Linked DNA regions of Notamacropus eugenii. The protein of the gene in region 2 purifies or fractionates together with the protein of the main gene of each other region. This does not show direct contact. Links are inferred from orthologs where the notes say so. Each region holds a gene or a part of one and is shown on either strand. Other genes may lie near its edges. The genes, in order: PKN1 and KBTBD8.

Region 1 (8,428 bases), on a different chromosome or scaffold from region 2:
CTGTCTGGAAAGGGTAAGGGGTAACCTTAGTTCCCTGACAAATTTGGTTCAATGCTGTGTGAACTTGGGCCCTCTCATTGCCAAGTTAAAGGGAGCATAGTTTCCTCATCTGTAAACAAGGGTGACATCTGTGTTCTGCCTCAGTTTCCCATCCTGAATAGAGTCTTATTTAAAAAGTTAAGAGCTGGGAAGATTCTTGCCCCTTCTAGCTCTGAGACTATGCTTGCAGATTGGATTTGGGGTCCATTGTTAAGTCCCTCTCTTTCCTCCTGCATTTTCTCTGGGAAGAGACTCTGAGGCAGCCCCAGGCCAGTCTCTAAAGTAGAAAGGCTAGTGCCTGGATCTAGATCTGTACCCTGAGGCAAAGTCCTGACCCCCAAGGACACTAAGAAGAGGAAGATTCTAGACACCACACCAGATCGCTAAGAGAGGCAGTCAGAAGCACGGTTCTAGTCCCAATTTTGTCCCTAACTTTCCATGCTACCTCATGTAAATGACTCAGCCTCCACTGACCTAATTTTGCCCATCTATAAAATAAGGCAATTGAATTAGATAGTCTCTAAATTCCCCTTCTCTTCTGATGATAATAATAATAATATCAGCTTATATTTATGTAACATTTATGGATTGCAAAGTGCTTTCTCAGTTGTTAAAATTTATATAAATGTTATTGTTACAAAGTGCTTAACATACATTATCTCATGTAATCCTCACAAGTATGGTTATCTCCATTTTACAAAGGAGGAAACTGAACCTGAGAGTTTGTGGCTTAACTGTATTTCATATTTGTATAACACTTTATCACTTACTCCCTCTGAGAGACAGAAAATAGCCTGGGATATGGAATCAGAGGGTTCAGATCCCAGCTCTCCCACCTATCTGACACTTCTCTCTGGGCCTGTTTCTTCCTCCGAAAATGAAAGGACTGAACTAGATGGTCTCTAAGAGCCCTATTAGCCCTAAATCCTATTATCAATAGTATAGGAATATCCTTATTTTACGGTCGAGGAAACTGAGGCTGAGAGGGACTAGCTAAATGATTTGCCCAGAGTAGGAAGTGACAAAAGTAGGACAGGAATCTCAGTGTCCTGACTATAGATGCTGTGTTCTTCCCATTATACCATAGCTGCCCTCAGGGACTATGAGTCTACTCTCAGGTGGTGCTGAAGTGGGGCTTGGGGTAAGAAAGGAGAGAATCTATGCCCAGCCCTTCTGTCCCAGAACAGATGGTAGAGGGTGGCTTCCCAACTCCCCCTATTCCTCTTTCAACTGTTTTTATCCCCACCCTTATGATGGGACTAGGGCAACTGGGGAAAGCCGCAGGGTTCCCCTGTTTTCTCTTCCCCCAACCCCCATTCTAGGATAAAAACAAAGGATGCCTGGAGCTTCACCCCATGTCAGACTTCGGAAAGTGTGTGGGCTAGAGAAGGGAGCCTGGAGTCAGGACTCCTGGGTCCACAATGGGGGAAGGTGGGGCCTAGATCTGTGTATTCAGGATGCTTAGGTCTTTGGGAGAGGAAGGAGCCCCTCCTCCCCATGACTCACTACCACCAACACCAACACCCCCCCTCCCCCCCAGGGCCAAGGGGTTAATTAGCTGTCAAGGCCCTTGAGGGTAGGAGGAGAACCACAAGCATATCTGAGTGACCTGCTGCCCTATACTCACCCAGCTCAATCATCTCCTTCCTTCCCTCCCTATCTACTGGCTCTGAGTGGCCTCCCCAACCCCCATATTGCCTGTCCTGTCCCTCTGTCTGCCTGTCTCCATGCTAACACTTGTCTGTCTGTTTGTCTATACCATGTCCGGGTTCAGGATGTCCGGTTTCTGCTCAGGAAGCTTCAGAACCATTCAAAGTGCCAGACATCATTGGGGGTGGGGATGCCTGGGTCCTGGACTGATGTACAGGCTGGTAGGAGGAAGAAAGTACTGCTTGGATTCAGGGGCTGAGGATGGCTGCCACCTGGGGACCTTGCTGCAGGAAGTGGTGATTCCGAGAGATAGAACTGACCATCCCAGCTTGGCTACTTGCTGGCTGGGTGGCGTTGGGTTGGTCCAGCAGCTCTTAACCATTTTTGGGTCAGTCTTGGCAGGCTGGTGAGGCCTAGGGAGAATAATGTTTTTAACTGCATGAAATAAAATGCATACAACTACAGAGAAATCTACTTATATTGAAATACAGTAATAAAAATATATTTTTTAGAAAACACCAATAGTTCATGGGCACCAGGTTAAGAACCCCTGGGTTAGTCCCTTCTCTCTTGGCCTGTTTTCTCCACTGTCAAATGAGGAGGTTGGATTAGATGGTCTCTAAGGGTCTTTCTAGCTCTAAGTCCTATCCTGAATCCAGCCACAATTTTGGCCTAGAGGAAGGGGAAAGTTTCCCCCTGACCCCAACTGAACCCAGGGCAGCTGCAGAGCTAGGCCCCAAGGCCCCAAAGGCTGAGCATCCCAGCCAGGGAGTGAGTAGGGATTGGGGCAGGCCCAGTGGCCTCTCCCCGCCCCACATTCCTGGGTGACTGAGGTCACCAGGTTCCAGCCCTGCTGCTTATACAGCTGAGTTCAGCTGGCCCTAGAAAGGAGGACTGAGGGAGTCTGATCAGTGACAGAAGGCAGGCACTGTGAGAAGAGGAGGAGACTAAGAGAACTCAATGCCCCTTCCCATCCCTGTCCTCTCCAAGGGCCTCTCTGCCTCCCGCTGGAGTAGCAGGGTAATGAAAAGAGCACTAAAATTAGAACCAAGAGGCCTGGGCTCAGGTCTTAGCTCTGTTACTACTATGATCTTGGACAAGTTACTTCTCCCTCTAAGTCCATTTCCTCATCTATAAAATCAGGCGTAAACTCGATAATCTTTAAGGTCCTCTCCAGCTTATTTCCTCCTTCCTCCTCATGATCCTGTTAGTGAGGGAGGAAGAAAGATAGTCTTCTCTCCCCTCATTCTTCCCTAATGAAGCTGGCTGGGTTAGGAGCCTGGACTCTTGGGTCCCAATATTAGCAGGACTTAGAAGTCCCGGGATTCACAAAGACTCTACCATCAACATTTGCTCTTTTTCTAAGTGACAGCTTGGAGAGATAGGCTGTGTATTTGGGAGACTAGAAGAAGAATCTTGATACAGTAGCTTTATAGTTTTGAGTTGTGAATCCTGCCTGTGATACTTATTATCCATGTGATCTCGGGCAAGTCACAACCTTTCTGGCCCTCAGTTTCCTCCCTCTGAGGCCCCTTCCTTCTATAGATCTGTGATCCTAAGGCCCAGGTCTAGCTCTTGAATTGGGGAATAGTACTGAGGTTGCTCATTTAAGGCATGGGCCTCAGTGCCTGGGGTATTAAGGAGCAGGCTTAGAACAATGGAATGAGGATGAGGGGTAGAGTGGGGGGTGCTGCTCAGGCTGGGGGTGTGTGTGGCCTGAATAGGCCCTTTGTGGGGCCTGGCCCAGCTGGCCCCAGCCCTGGGGGATTGGGTGACTGGCAGCTGGGAGAGGAAGAAGGTCACATTGCAGGCTAGGAGGTGTGGCTCCTGGGTTCCATGCTGGGTGGAGGAGGGAAGGGACCCCAATCACAATGGAGGGAACCATTTTCTCCTCTCTCCCCCCACCCCAATTCTGCCCTCCTTTGGAAGGTGACCTGAACTCAGAGTCACCCCATTAGATGTGGAGTTCAGAGGAACCCAACCTCCAGCCTTAGGACTCACAGAGCTAGACTAATTATGGAGTGGTCTTGGGAGAGAGAGAAGACCAGTTTTAGATTCAGAAAGGGCTGATTTGAATCCTACTTGGGTCCCTTACTAGCTGTGTTTGGAAAAGTCACTAAGTTCTCAGTGACAGAATGGAGGATACTGGGTTTTGATGATCTGTAAGGTGGCTTCTAGCTCTGGGTCCCAGGTTCCCTCCAGTAACTGACCCAGCTCATCACAAGGGCTGCTGGAAGTGGGCTGCAGCCTTGGAGGAAACAGGAAGTCTGCTTTGGGAGATGGGGAAGGACAGGTCTTAGGTATGGGGGTAGGGGAATGGGAAGAGAAGAGTCAGGATTCAGGGGAAAGGGGAGCAAGCCCTGTTCAAAAGTGGTATTATGCCAAAAAGAACATTGGTTTTAGAGTCAAAAAGAGATCATTTGAATTCTGTCTCCTCTTACTTGGTATATTTGGATATCACTTAACGAATTTATGCCTCAATTTACCCTTCTGTAAAATAAAGGAATTGGACTAGAGGATTTTTAGTCCGCCTGTAAATCATGTGATTCCTAAATCCCATGGACCAAGGTCAGCCTCTTTGTGCCTTTATAGAGACATGAGGACATATGGCCAAACGTGGAGACATGCAGTAGATGAAGAGGCCCACCAGGAGGCATCATCATACACACTACCCCAGCCCTGCCTGATGACCCAAGTCTGACCTAGAGCAGGAGGAAGTGGGGGGACCACCCTCACTCACCCTTTTACTTATTCTTCTTTTGGGGGACCCCAGATGTTGTAGCTGGAATCTAGCAGGTTGGTCCTCTCTGTGTCTGGCAGAGGGGTGCTCTTCCTCACCAGTGTTTCCCTGATTCTCTAGTCCCCTTTCCCCCTCCCCCAGGGGGGCCCACATAGAGAGGCCTGGGACTGGCAGGAAAGAGGAAGTAGCAGACACAGAGCTCTGGGCCCTGCCAGGAAGAGAGGGCGGAGCCGCCCTAGGACCCAGGATGGCGGAAGCTGAGCCCCCCTCGGACCTGGAGCTAGAGGTGGGGGACAGGGCCAGGGTTTGGGGGGACTTTGGAGCTTGGACAGTCAAGCCCTGGGGATAGGGACCATCTGTCTACCCTCTTCAGCTGTCTGTCTCCTCCCCCACTTCACTCCCTAGCTGCTATCAACCCAGGAAGGCCAGGGCCAATGACATAGCTTCCTTCTGGGGCCACTAGGTAGGGGTCTGGCTGGGCAGTCCAGTAGGAGTTGATGACAGGATGTGGGATACGGACCAACTGGCTATCTGCCATTCCCCTTCCCTGCCCCAGACAATTAAGGAATTTTTTTGGTCAGTGTCAGACTTGAGGGTTGGTCACAACAAGGATCCTGGGTGACCATGGGATACTCCTGGGCAGGAATTTGGATTTATTGGAATCACCTCTCCACCAGAATTCTGGGTCATCTGGAGTAATTCCCTCCAGGACTTTGCTGGCATTGCCACTTGAGCCAAAATTACTGAGGACCCTGACACCTCTTTTCTGTTGGAACCCCAGTTACACACAGCCTTTACCATTGGCCTGATTCTGACTTAATGCTTCTCTGAGCTTTGGGGAAAGAATATGTTCCAGGGGATTGGGATGGGGAGGGGGAGGAAGGCAGCCCTTTGCACCAAGTAGAAAAGGATTTGAGGTCAACGATCAAATCAGAGATGGGTCCTTGGGCCCCTCCATCCAAGAAGTCTGTACCCAGCACCTATGGTATATATGACCAGGACTTTGTAGGGCTATGTTGGCTGGGAGGCAGGGACTTGGCCTTATCCAGTCTGCAGGGGAGCTCAGACTCCCTATTCTCCGCCTCCCTCTCTTGAAAACTGTGAATCACTGTAGGGATGGGGTTCAGCTTAAAAGGGTCATAGGTCCCCAGAGGGTAAAGGGCTGGAGTAGTCAGTCATAGCTTTCTGGAGGCAATGGTATTTCACTTCTGAGGATAGAGAGAAAGGGAAGGAATTGCATCTGCCAAGGTAGGAAAGAGTCTAGCCTGTTCTGGGGTAGGAGAAGGGGAATTTGGGGGAGCACAGAGAAAAGTAGGAAGGGAGTATAAGGATTTGGGTTCAAGCCCTAGATCTGTAACTTACAATGTGACCTTGGGCAAATCACTTCCTTGCTATGGGCCTCACTTTCCCCCTGTGTAAAATGAAAGAAGGTTTGTCAAGGTCCTTTCTAGTTAATAATCTTTAGGTCTGTGAAGGTGGGGAACCCAGGTTCAGGAGCTTTAAAATGCTGAGGAAGCATAGCATTTAGAAATGGAAGGGACTTAAGAGTCATCTGGTCCAACCCCCTCATTTTATGGAGATGGTTGGGGTGGGGGTGGATGAAAACAGGCATGACTTGCTGGAGGTCACATAATAGCAGATATGGGATTCACAATCCAAGTATCTGATTTAAGCCCTTTTCCACTGTCTCTGCTTCTTCAGACGAAGGGATTTGATGGGGTGCTCCCCAAGCTGTCTCTTCCAGCTCTCAATCTTGTGATCCCATGAGGCTGGGCTTGCCATCAATGTAAGGCTGAGGAGGCTGAACATGGTCCCCCCCCCCCCCCCCAGTTAGGTGTTTCCTCCTGTCCCCTTGGGTTCTTTGGGATCCTGAGTCCCCAGCACGCTGAGCTATGGCCTTTCTCTGTCCTCTCCACAGAGCGAGCCCGGGAGCTGGTCAGTGTTGGAGCAGCTAGGCCTGGCAGGAGCAGACTTGGCAGCCCCAGGGGTACAGCAGCGACTGGAGCTGGAGGTGGAGCGGCTTCGGCGGGAGATCCGAAAGGAACTGAAGCTGAAAGAGGGGGCAGAAAACCTGCGGCGGGCAACCACAGACCTTGGCCGGAGCCTGGGGCCAGTGGAGCTGCTGCTTAGGGGCTCCACCCGCCGCCTGGACCTGCTGCACAGCCAGCTGCAGGAGCTCCATGGCCTGGTGGTGCTGCATGAACCCAGCCAGGCCCAGCCCCAGCTGGGCCAGGCCCAGGGTGAGCAAGGTGCTAAGGTCCCTGGGGAAGTGGCCTGAAAAGCTAAGAGACAGCAGAGACACTGGGCCCTGGGGGGAATCCTGCTGGGTGTGAGGAAGAGTCCAGGTTTGGGGCAATCTTAATGCCAGGGGCTCCAAGGAGAAAAGAAGACTAGGCTCTTGTTGGTCCAGGAGCCCTATAGAGATACCTATGTAACATCTCTGGATGATTATAAAATGGGAGAGGCCTACGGCCACTCCTCATCTCCTAAGGCTGTCCTTTGAGCTGAGGGGTAAGAAACCTAGGTCTAGTCTCTAAACTCTTGTCTCTACCAGGAAATACTGGTAGTTTTTTTTTGGGGGGGGCGGGGGGAGGCATAGACAGGTCAGGATTCCAGACCTCCAGCTTCCCAGCCCCCAGCTTGTCTTTCTGGCTTAAAGTGGAAACCACACCAGCAGCTCCCCTTACCTCAGCTCCCCATGAAATATTCAGACTTCAGGCAGGCAGAGCAGAAGCAAAGCACCTAGCTGCTGGGCAGTGGGACATTAGGGTTCCCAGTTTAGCCACTTACTTTTCAGGGAGAGAAATCTCTAGCACCCCAGGAAGAAAGAGGGAAGCTTGGACTGCTGTATCCCAGGATCAATCAGTCCCACCCAGGGAATTCCTGGCTAGGTACTGGGCAGAAGTGACTCTGACTTCTCCCCTCTCTGTGCTTCCCAGATGGTCCTCAATCCCCCAACTGCTCGGCCACCAGTCTGAGTCTGGTGGCGGGCTTGGAGAAGCAGCTGACCATCGAGCTCAAGGTCAAGCAAGGGGCAGAAAACATGATCCACACCTACAGCAATGGCAACACCAAGGTGAGCTCACAGTGGAGGCTGGGGCTGGGAAGGAGCACATTTCCCTAAGCTCTTCTGCTAAAGACTGGGGGGACAGGGAAGGAAGGGCTAGGAGAACCTTAGCTTGACCAAGATTTGGCTAATGCATCTGTTCTAGAGTGAAAGGAGCCCCAGACTCAGTCAGAGGACCTGAGATAGAACCTTGTACCTACAGTTCACTGTAACCTTGGGCAGAAAAATCCCTTTCCCTTTCTGGGCCTCAGTTTCCTATCTTTGAGGTGATGATCTCATGCCTTTCAGCTCTACCATTTCATGATTCTAAGTTAGAGGCAGTCTGTAGAGCTCTGTTGAAGATTGATGGCAAGTCACACTGACCCACTGGCCATCCCCTATTCCTATCCTTCCTCCCTTCATCTCCAGGGTCCTGGAATTTAGAGTCAGAAAGGGCTTTTACAGAGCATTCTAGTTCAACTCTTATTTTACAGATGATGAAACTAAGACCCAAAGAAATAATTTGCATAAGAAATAGAGATTGTGGCAGAACAGATTCCAATCAAGTCAGGGGAGTCTAAATCCAAGGCTCTTTCCACACTGCTGGACTGCCCTCTAGGTTAGGTCTGGAGGCCCCCTGGGCAATAATAATGCTAAAGGGAGGTCCTCTGGACCTCTGTTTCTTCTGCAATTGCAAAATGACTTAAGTCCCTTCCAAACTTCACTAGAAGCCCCTTCTTCGACTCTGAATTGTAATATGATCTCCCCCTTTTCTGGGTCTCAGTTGTTTCATCTGTAAATGAGGAAGTTTGTTTAGACAAGTGCTAAACTCTCAGTTCTGACTTTCTATGGTTCTATAAGGACATACATGGACAGAGTGATTAATAGACATGTAAACCTAGGTGAATAAAACATAGACAGGTGGACATATACAAGTCCACCAGCCCTGGGGC
Region 2 (8,642 bases):
CTGTAGAGTCAGACCACCTAGGTTCAGATGTAGCCTGGTGTGACCATGCCAAGCAGTTCCACTCCCTGTGCCTCAGTCTCATTTATCTGTAAAATAAGCTAGAGAGCCCTCTGAGGACAATCAACAAGCATTAAATGCCTACTAGTGTCAGTTGCATAGTAGGGCTAGTCTGAGGTTCAGGTCTATAATCCTAGGATCCTTTCCACCTGCAAACTCTATCCTGTTCTGTGATTCCATCTTATAGTTGCTGGTAAGTCAGCTTACCAGTTGCTGGTATATATGCCTGTCTATCCAATCTTGAGCTATTCTGTCACAGGGTAGTGAGAAAGATTGCATTTTAAGAGAAAAATACAAACTTGCCCCTCACAAAAATAGGAACCTCTAAATTAGGGGTGGGGAACCTGCGGCCTTGAGATCACACGTGGTCCTCTATGTCCTCAAGTATGATCCTTCGAATCCAAACTTCACAGAACAAATCCCCTTAAAAAAGGATTTGTTCTGTAAAACTTGGACTCCTTCAACAGGCCTCACCTGAGGACCTAGAAGGACACAGGTTTCTCCCTCCGGCTAGATTAGTAAGAGGGTCACTTCTTTAAAAAAATCAACATAAAAGTGTGTCCCTAAAACAAATTAAATAAAAAACCAGGAACTCTCTCAGAGTCTGACGTTTCTTCTGAGTTAAAAAAATCTCCTTCAACCAAAACTCTAAATTCTTTGAAATATTATTGCCAGTTTCAGAAAATGCTCCAAAAAAGTTTTTAAAGAGAGTCTGCGGACCGATCTGTATTGGCACTGACCAGGCGGTGAGCACCTCTGAGCCCCACGAGCAGCGAGGACTCGGAAGCCTCTTCCAAGATCGCCTTTCTCCCCCTTTTTAGAAAGGGGGCGGGTCTGGGGCCAGGGGGGCCCGCGTGTGCCGGGGAGCCCCGTCTCACACAGTCACGCTCCGAGAGCTCCGGCCGCCCACCGTGCCGGGCGGCGGACGCCAGAGGGGCCCCCTCAGCCACGGCCCGCTCCCACACACGTCCCCTCGTCTCCCCCCACACACCCGCCGGCCTCCACTCTCCCCCGCGCCCCAGAACCCGGCGCGCCACGCAGCAGGCGCTTCGTACAGGCGCTCCCGGGGGTAAACTGAGGCAGCGGGCGCGGCTACCTGAAGTAGGGGCTGATGGCCGCCAGCACGTTGCGGTGGCACGAGAAGGTCTTGCCGTGGTCCACCTCCACGACGATGTCGGTCAGCTGGCCCTCGTCGTACATGGTCTTGAGCTGCTGCAGGATGCTGCACGCGTGGGCGGCGTCCACGGGCCCCGGGCCGGCCACGGGGGGCGCGGGCGGGGCGCCGTTCGGCGGCGGACACTTACTGGCATCTGCGGGAGAGAGAGCGCCACAAGCCCCGGGTTCCGCGCGCGCCCGAGGCTGGGCCGGGCCCACGCGCGCCCCGGGGCGCGGCCCCGACGGGCCACGGACGCGCGCGGCGGGGGGCGGGGGGCGGGGCGGGGGGAGGACGCGACGCGGACGCGCGGGGCCCCCGCGGGCGACCGGACGGGCTTCGGCGGCCGTCGGGGCCCACGGGAGTCGCGGGGGAGGGAGGGAGGGAAAAGGGGAGGCCCGTGCCCTCCGCCAAGCCCGCCCCGGACCGCCCAACCGCCGCCCCGGCCGCTCCCCCCACCCCGAGGCAGCACCTACCTCCCGTCGCGGCCATGTCTCGGAGGGGCCCCGGCTCGAGCGGAGTGAGGAGAAGAGAGAAAATGTCATTTCGTTTCCCCTGCTCCCCCCGGTTCCGGCTCGTCAGCGAGCTTCGAAGCCAATGGGAGGCCTCGGAGCCCAGGCCCCGCCCCCGAGCCCAGCGCCTCGGGTACCGATTGGTCGCAGGCCGCCGAGGTGCGTGTCGGGAAATGTAGTCCGGTTCAGCTCAACCCCGCGTGGTCGCTGGGAGGCGGAGGCAGTACCGGCGGAGGCCGGACTGCGGCGTGGGCATGGGGCCTGTCAGGGGGTGGGCCGAGTCGTCCTCGGGTTAGGACGCACTCCATACTCCTGGCTCACACCAGAGCTCCACGCATTGGGATCCGCGCGGTCCCCTCGGATCCCCCCCGCTTCCCAGGGGCTGGGCACCGCAGGTGTCACCCGCTGGACGGGCGAGGAAACTGAGGCCTAGGCCGGGACCTCGCGGTCTGCGTTGGGGATGGGGTGGGGCCAAAGTGGGAGCGCCCTGAGGGCCGCGGCGCGGGAGGACGTGGGCGCAGCCGCCGTGGGCAAGGCGCCGCGCTCCGGCCGGCCCTTCCGCGGAGGGGCCCCCAAGGCGGGGGAGGCTTCGGGGGACTTCCCCCTTGTCGGCTCACGGTTACCCCGCCTTCCCCAAGAGGAAACCGAGGCCGAGCTGAAGTCGGGCCTCGCGACTTCCCCCGGGGGCGTCCGACGCAGGACTGGCCCCAGGCCTGCCTGGCAGCCGGACGGGACTTCCTTCCCTGAGTCACCGCCCCTCCTACCCGCGGCCGCCGATGCGAGGGGGCCCAGCCTCCCCGAGACACCTCCAACTGGAGCCCGGGGTCACCTGCCCCTCCCCCCGCCCGCCCCAGAGAGAGTGATCCGACGTGCCATCTGTGCCACCAAGTGAAACCGCCTGGCACCGGCCTAAGTTCCGAGCCATCAAAGCTGAGCCCCGTAGATGGAGACAAACCTCCCCCTCCTGTTTAGAGCCCCTAAAAATAAACATGAAGGAATTAAATATGTCCCACGGGAACTTGGGAGGAGCCCCTTCCTTCCTGGATGTTTACCTGCGATCCTTTCATTAGCCGTCCTGAGGCTTGCCTTGGCTCCCCAGGCAGCCTGTCCGGGGCTAGGGGAGAGTTTGTGAACGAGAGGGACCCTGGACTGAGGCCAGCCGCCCCCTCCTCTTAGATTCATGGCTGCGATATTTCCCTAGATCTGTCCTCTTATGGAGGAATGCCAGTCGCGACTGGTCCAGCCCTGCCCAGCCTGTTCGGCTTCTGCCTTTGCCCTCCCCTACTGCCTCCCAAGGAACGACACCCAACGTGCTGGAGGGCGCTTTTAGCATTTCACGGATACTGCTGCAGTCGTGCATGTAGCTGACCTTCCTTCACAAATCGTTGGGAGCTTGAGGCAGGCTTTTATGCGGAGCCCAGGCTCCTGGCTCTCCGATCGGAGAAGATACATTTGACTTGGATTCCGATTTTGCTTCTGATACGCTGTGAACACTGGAAAGTCACAGCCTCTCTGTTCCTTAGTTCCCTCGTCCGTAAAGTGAAGTTCGTACTGACAGTACCTCCCTCGCAGGCTGGCTTGTGAGATTCAAGTGAGATGATACATGTCAAGAGTTTTGCGCATTTAAAAATGTATATAAATGTCAACTCTTGTTACAGTTATCCCATGTACCGAGCAGTAAGATACTTTTTGTGCTTGGCAAGTGGAATAAAGATACATAATATATAAAATGTGTTCTATGTAGATAGTGTTACACTTTAAATCTGTATTATGTTTCTTTGCTTTGTTACTCAGCATTATAAAATACAATTTATCATTACTGAGTATTTACTTAGCTCTTTCTAGGTCCATGGCCCTGATTTATCTAACTATTGCTCCTAGCAAATCTATTTTTAAGACTTTCATAAACTTAACAAGTCACATTTATATAGTGCTCTCCTCCCGACAGCTCTGTGAGGTAGGGAACAAGTTTTTGTTGATTTTTTTTAACCTAACATTCAGTTCATTGCCAAAGAAAAATCCATGCAGAGCAACACCTATTTATGCAACTCAAAGGCTTAAGGTGTTAACTTCCTCCAGAGGCAGAGTGACTTTCCCAGGGTCATATAGCCATAGAAGCTGAATCTGAACAAAGGTCATCATGATTCTGAGTCTGGCTCTCTATCCACTGCGCCACAAGGTCTCTCTGAACAAGTATTATTATGTCCTTTTTTGTTGTTCAGTCGTTTTAAGTCACATCTGACTCTTCATGACCCCATTTGGGGTTTTCATGGCAAAAGATACTGGAGTGATTTACCATTTTCTTCTCCAGCTCAATTTTAAAGATGAGGAAGCACAGGCTAACAGGGTCACACAGCTGCTGAGGGTCTGAGGTCAAATTCAGACTCATCCAGGTCTCCAAAACCTCCAGGTCCCAGTACTCATTCCCCTAGAGAACATAACACTGTCATTCTCTATTTCCCAAGTATCCATGGGTTCCCAATCAAAATTATTATATTAAGGAAAATGAATGGAAAAGTCTAATTTCATTCATTCTATTTTTAACTTCTTTGGAGTCAGGTCTAAAACTAAATGTGAGTCTTGCACTTCCTACTTATTAGCTAAAGGACTTGGGTGATATTCATCAATTAATTTCAGAAAAGACTCTGTGTTCTCTGTTCCCCTAGTGATGCGGGTTGGGGGGTGGGGAGGTACTAGGGCTTGTAAAAGCAAACCTAAAGTAAGTATAAAAAAGAACAGGACATAATATTACTGCTTTGCTAATGACTATGACACTCTTAATAGGGCTAAATTCTGATGAGATCAAAGATCATATATTACTCGTTGTTAGAATTATATAGTTTTTAAATCAAAAATAGATAAGAGGATAATAAAATCTAACCAACAAACAACTGTTCTCTGTGACCTTTAAGGATACAAAGAAGGTCCTGTTCCATTGTGGACACTAAATAGCACTAGACAGCCAGCTTTGGTTTGAGGCAGTTCCAGCCAATGAGCTGTAAAGGCAAGCAGTAAAAGTCAACCAGGTTTCATCTTAATTAACTAAATAGTTATAAAGTACTGACCACTAAAGTACTTTCCCAAAAAATTTACATTTTAGAAGGAAGCCAGAGGAAATTCAAAAATTGGGAAACCCAAGCAAATTCAGAAGGGACATGGTATCATGGAAATCAGTGACTGAAGTCAGAGGGTATAGGTTCAAACACCACCTCTGATAAGCCACCAGCACATAGTAAGGGCTTGTTGATAAATGCTTGTTGACTTGAATGAGACTACCTGTGTGGCCTTGGGCTGGTAATTTAATTGCTCTCAGCCTCAGTTTCCTTGTCTGTAAAATAACTACATGGTCTCAGGTCCCTTCTAGTTCTATGATCCTATAAGAGGTGTATATGTATGTATTTATGTATGTAAAGGCATGGATATGCCAATACATCAAGGATTTGTAATTTCATTGATGAAACAGCTTTTCTGCTAAAGAAGGTCACAACCCCTTTATAGCTAGTCAGATGGTCAGCAAGCATTGATGTCTTCTTTAATCTTCAAAGAATCGGGGATCTTCATGCCTTCTCAATCTCCACAAAGAGTCCCCTAGCTCTGGATTCATGCACATGAAATGGGTTCAGTCCCAAGCAGACTGTATCCTTTAGAGAAGGGTCTTTATATTACTACCCTCAACCCTGAAGCCTAGGGCCAGGAGGGGGGTGGGGAGGGGTGGAGGAATCACTTAAAGTTCACATTTGACTTTTAAGTCTCCTCAAAATAGAGAGGAATAGAAAGCTACTCTGTACAGTGTAAATCAGGTATAGGATAGCTATTTCCTCCACACAAAAGAAATGCTTAATATATAAGAGACTCACAAATGCATACTAACAAAGACTTAATTAGCAAGTTGAATCAAGAAGTACTTATTAAGTGTTCACTATGTGCCTAGGCACTGGAGTACAAGAAAGGCAAAAACAGTCCCTGAACTCAAAGAGTTTACCATCTAATGGAAGAGACAACATACAATAACTGTATACAAACAAGATATACAGAGGATATATTAGAGATAACCAATAGAGGGAAGGTAATAGTATTAAGGAGGACCAGGATAGGCTTCTTATAGAAGGTGGGATTTGAGCTGAGACATAAAGAAAGTCAGGGAAGGCAGGAGGTGCAGAAGTGCACAGTCAAGAGAAAAGACACAGGCCTATGAAAAAATGTTCCAAATCACTAATAATAAGAGAAATGTACGTTAAAACATCTCAGAGGTTCTGCCTCATGTATCTCAGTTTGGCAAAGATGACCAAAATGAAAAATTACAATTGTTGGAAGGGGTATGGGCAGACAGGCACACCATTCCACAAGTAAAGCAGTGAATTGGTTCGGTTGTTCTAGGAAGCACAAAAATCACTAAATTGTGCAGTCCTTTTGACTGGAAAAGACCCATATATACAAAAATATTCATAGCACTATTTATTCTAAGGACATGAAAAACTAAGGAGTTTTCATCAACCAGGCAGTATTAATATAATGGAATATTATTGCACTATAAGAAATGGTAGAGGCAACGAGGTGGAGCAGTGGATAGGGTGCCAGATCCCTAGTCAGGAGGACACTTTCCTGAGTTCAAATGTGGCCTCAGACACTTACTAGTTGTGTGATCCTGGACAAGTCACTTAACCCTGTTTGCCTCAGTTTCTTCATCTGTCAAATGACCTAGAGAAGGAAATTGCAGCATTTTTGCCAAGAAAACCTCAATTAAGGTTACAAAGACTCAGATGTAACTGAAAAGTAGCTCAACAACATAAATGATGAAAGGGAGAAATTCAGAGAAACCTGGGAAGAATTGAATGAACTGAGTGATGCAGATTCAGAAAAATAATTGATATAGTGACTAGCTTAACAACTTGTAACTGTTGTTATATTCTCCTCAGGAATCTGAGACTTAAAACCATCCAAATATAAAATATTTGGAAAGATTGTCAAGCATTTCACATTGTACCTTGGCTCTGAATTATCTAAATTAGAGGTGTTAAACTAGAGGTTTCACTCCAAGGGCTTGTAAAACCTCTCAAGTGCAACCCAAACCATAATAAAATGCAACTGGGAAATGTTTAACAAAATAAACAAAAATACAATACATAGAGAATATGAATTTGTGGCTTTCTAAGACAATATACAGCCCCAGGGATCCCATTCTATTTGAATTTGACATCATTGATCTAAATAGATCCTCCCACATCCATGTTGTCTGGCTTGTGGTCATCTCCTCCAAGAAGTGCTGAATAAGTTATAGGGACTCCTCTGGAAGGGAAGTCTCCAACTGAGGATACAGGGTATCCAGATCTCTTGAATTCACAAAAGACTTCTGAGATCGCAAATTGCAATTTCCAAATCACTTCTCAGTCAAGGAAGCCTGAATCCCAGGCTCAAGCTTACCTGAGCAGGACATGAACTCCAAATGACATGGGTTCATACTCATTGTGGTACAGGGAGAGCAAAAGGGCACCAGTCGCCTCATTCACTACTCTAATGAGAGGCTCAAAGGAGCATGACTTGAGACAGAGGATGGAGCCACACTCTTTTTAAGGTACCCTAAATCAGAGGTTCTTCTGATCAGTGACCAATAAGGGGCTTGTTTCATCACCTCCAAGAACTCCAATTCAGCACTGAACCACAGCTGCCTTAGGAAGTTGACAGGGGAGTTCTGGTATGTCATCTATGGGATGGTCCCTGTTCAATATAGAAATATAAATAAAAGGGATTTTTTTTTCCCTTGGGGGAGGGTACAGCACTAAGCCCTGGGGGAAGGGAGAATAGCAAAGGTTCTGAGAGGACCTGCGTTCAAATGGTGCCACTGATGCTTATCTGTGGCCATGGGAAAATTCTCCTAACCTCATCTGTAAAATGAGAGGGGTACATTAATTGTATTCTGAGGTCTCTTTCAGCTTTAGGTCTGTGGTCTTATGACCCTGTGTAAAAGATAGGTCATGGTAGAGCTGAGTTCTTAAGGAAACTAGGGGGTCTGCATGTGGAGAGAAGGAAGAAATGTATTCTGGTCATAAAGGATAATCAATGCAAAGGCAAGGAGACAAGAGACAGAACACAATACAGAAGGAACAGTAGAAAGGCTATTGTGACCAATCCATGGGGTATATGAAGGGAAGTAATGAATAACAATTCAGAAAACATCAGCTGAAGCCAGTTTGTGAATGGCTTTAAATTCCGAACAGAGGAATCATATTTGATCCAACCATCCTAACAAAGCTATCAATAAGTAGATTCCAATAACGTAGATCACGACACCTCTGGACCTACCCGTCTAGTTCAATTCCTAAAATGCTACGGTTTTGTGAATCTGTGGCTCTTGCCATGTGCTCCTGATATCACAAATAGGGATCTGTCCAATGTACTTAGAGCTTTCCTCTTGATCTCTTGACCTTGAATACCAATGGAGTATTTGGACAACCATTAATTACCCCAAGTTGTACTTCTTGACCAGCCTGTCTGTTTTGCCATTGATTGTTCTCCAATGATATCCTTTCACTGTTTTTTTTCCCTACATAATAAGAGGGCAGGTAAAAGACAGATAGACGGATGGATGGATGGATAAATAGATAGATAGATAGATAGATAGATAGATAGATAGATAGATAGATAGATAGATAGATAGATAGACAGACAAATGCAGACAGAAATGTATGTATATATGTTCAAATTAGGCAAAGTTTTAATACTTTATTTATTACTATAAAACTTAATGGTTAAAATCTATGAAGATCATCACACAGTTGTGGAAAACCAGGGTGGGATGCAGCTTTTATATTTAAAAGCTAGCCAGAATGAAGGACAGATAGCTTATTAAAGAAGCATATTTGAAAGATGAAGCTATGGCCCCTTGTATTCTCTGTTTCCACATCTAGAAAAAGCGTCAGCTT

What was found.
Region 1: the proteins of KBTBD8 (region 2) and PKN1 purify together in Homo sapiens (affinity purification with western blotting; 3 studies listed by BioGRID and IntAct, with this or other methods). This does not show direct contact. The link is inferred for Notamacropus eugenii from reciprocal best matches to the Homo sapiens genes KBTBD8 and PKN1.

The regions. Positions count from the first base shown.
Region 1 is NC_092875.1:76,499,616-76,508,043, reverse strand, and holds the start of PKN1 (serine/threonine-protein kinase N1), read left to right. Parts: upstream 1-4,609; 5' UTR 4,610-4,676; coding exon 4,677-4,715; intron 4,716-6,347; coding exon 6,348-6,669; intron 6,670-7,368; coding exon 7,369-7,505; intron 7,506-8,428. UniProt on the Homo sapiens protein: PKC-related serine/threonine-protein kinase involved in various processes such as regulation of the intermediate filaments of the actin cytoskeleton, cell migration, tumor cell invasion and transcription regulation.
Region 2 is NC_092874.1:456,874,722-456,883,363, forward strand, and holds the start of KBTBD8 (kelch repeat and BTB domain-containing protein 8), read right to left. Parts: upstream 3,534-8,642; 5' UTR 2,790-3,533; coding exon 2,775-2,789; intron 1,721-2,774; coding exon 1,687-1,720; intron 1,368-1,686; coding exon 1,154-1,367; intron 1-1,153. UniProt on the Homo sapiens protein: Substrate-specific adapter of a BCR (BTB-CUL3-RBX1) E3 ubiquitin ligase complex that acts as a regulator of neural crest specification.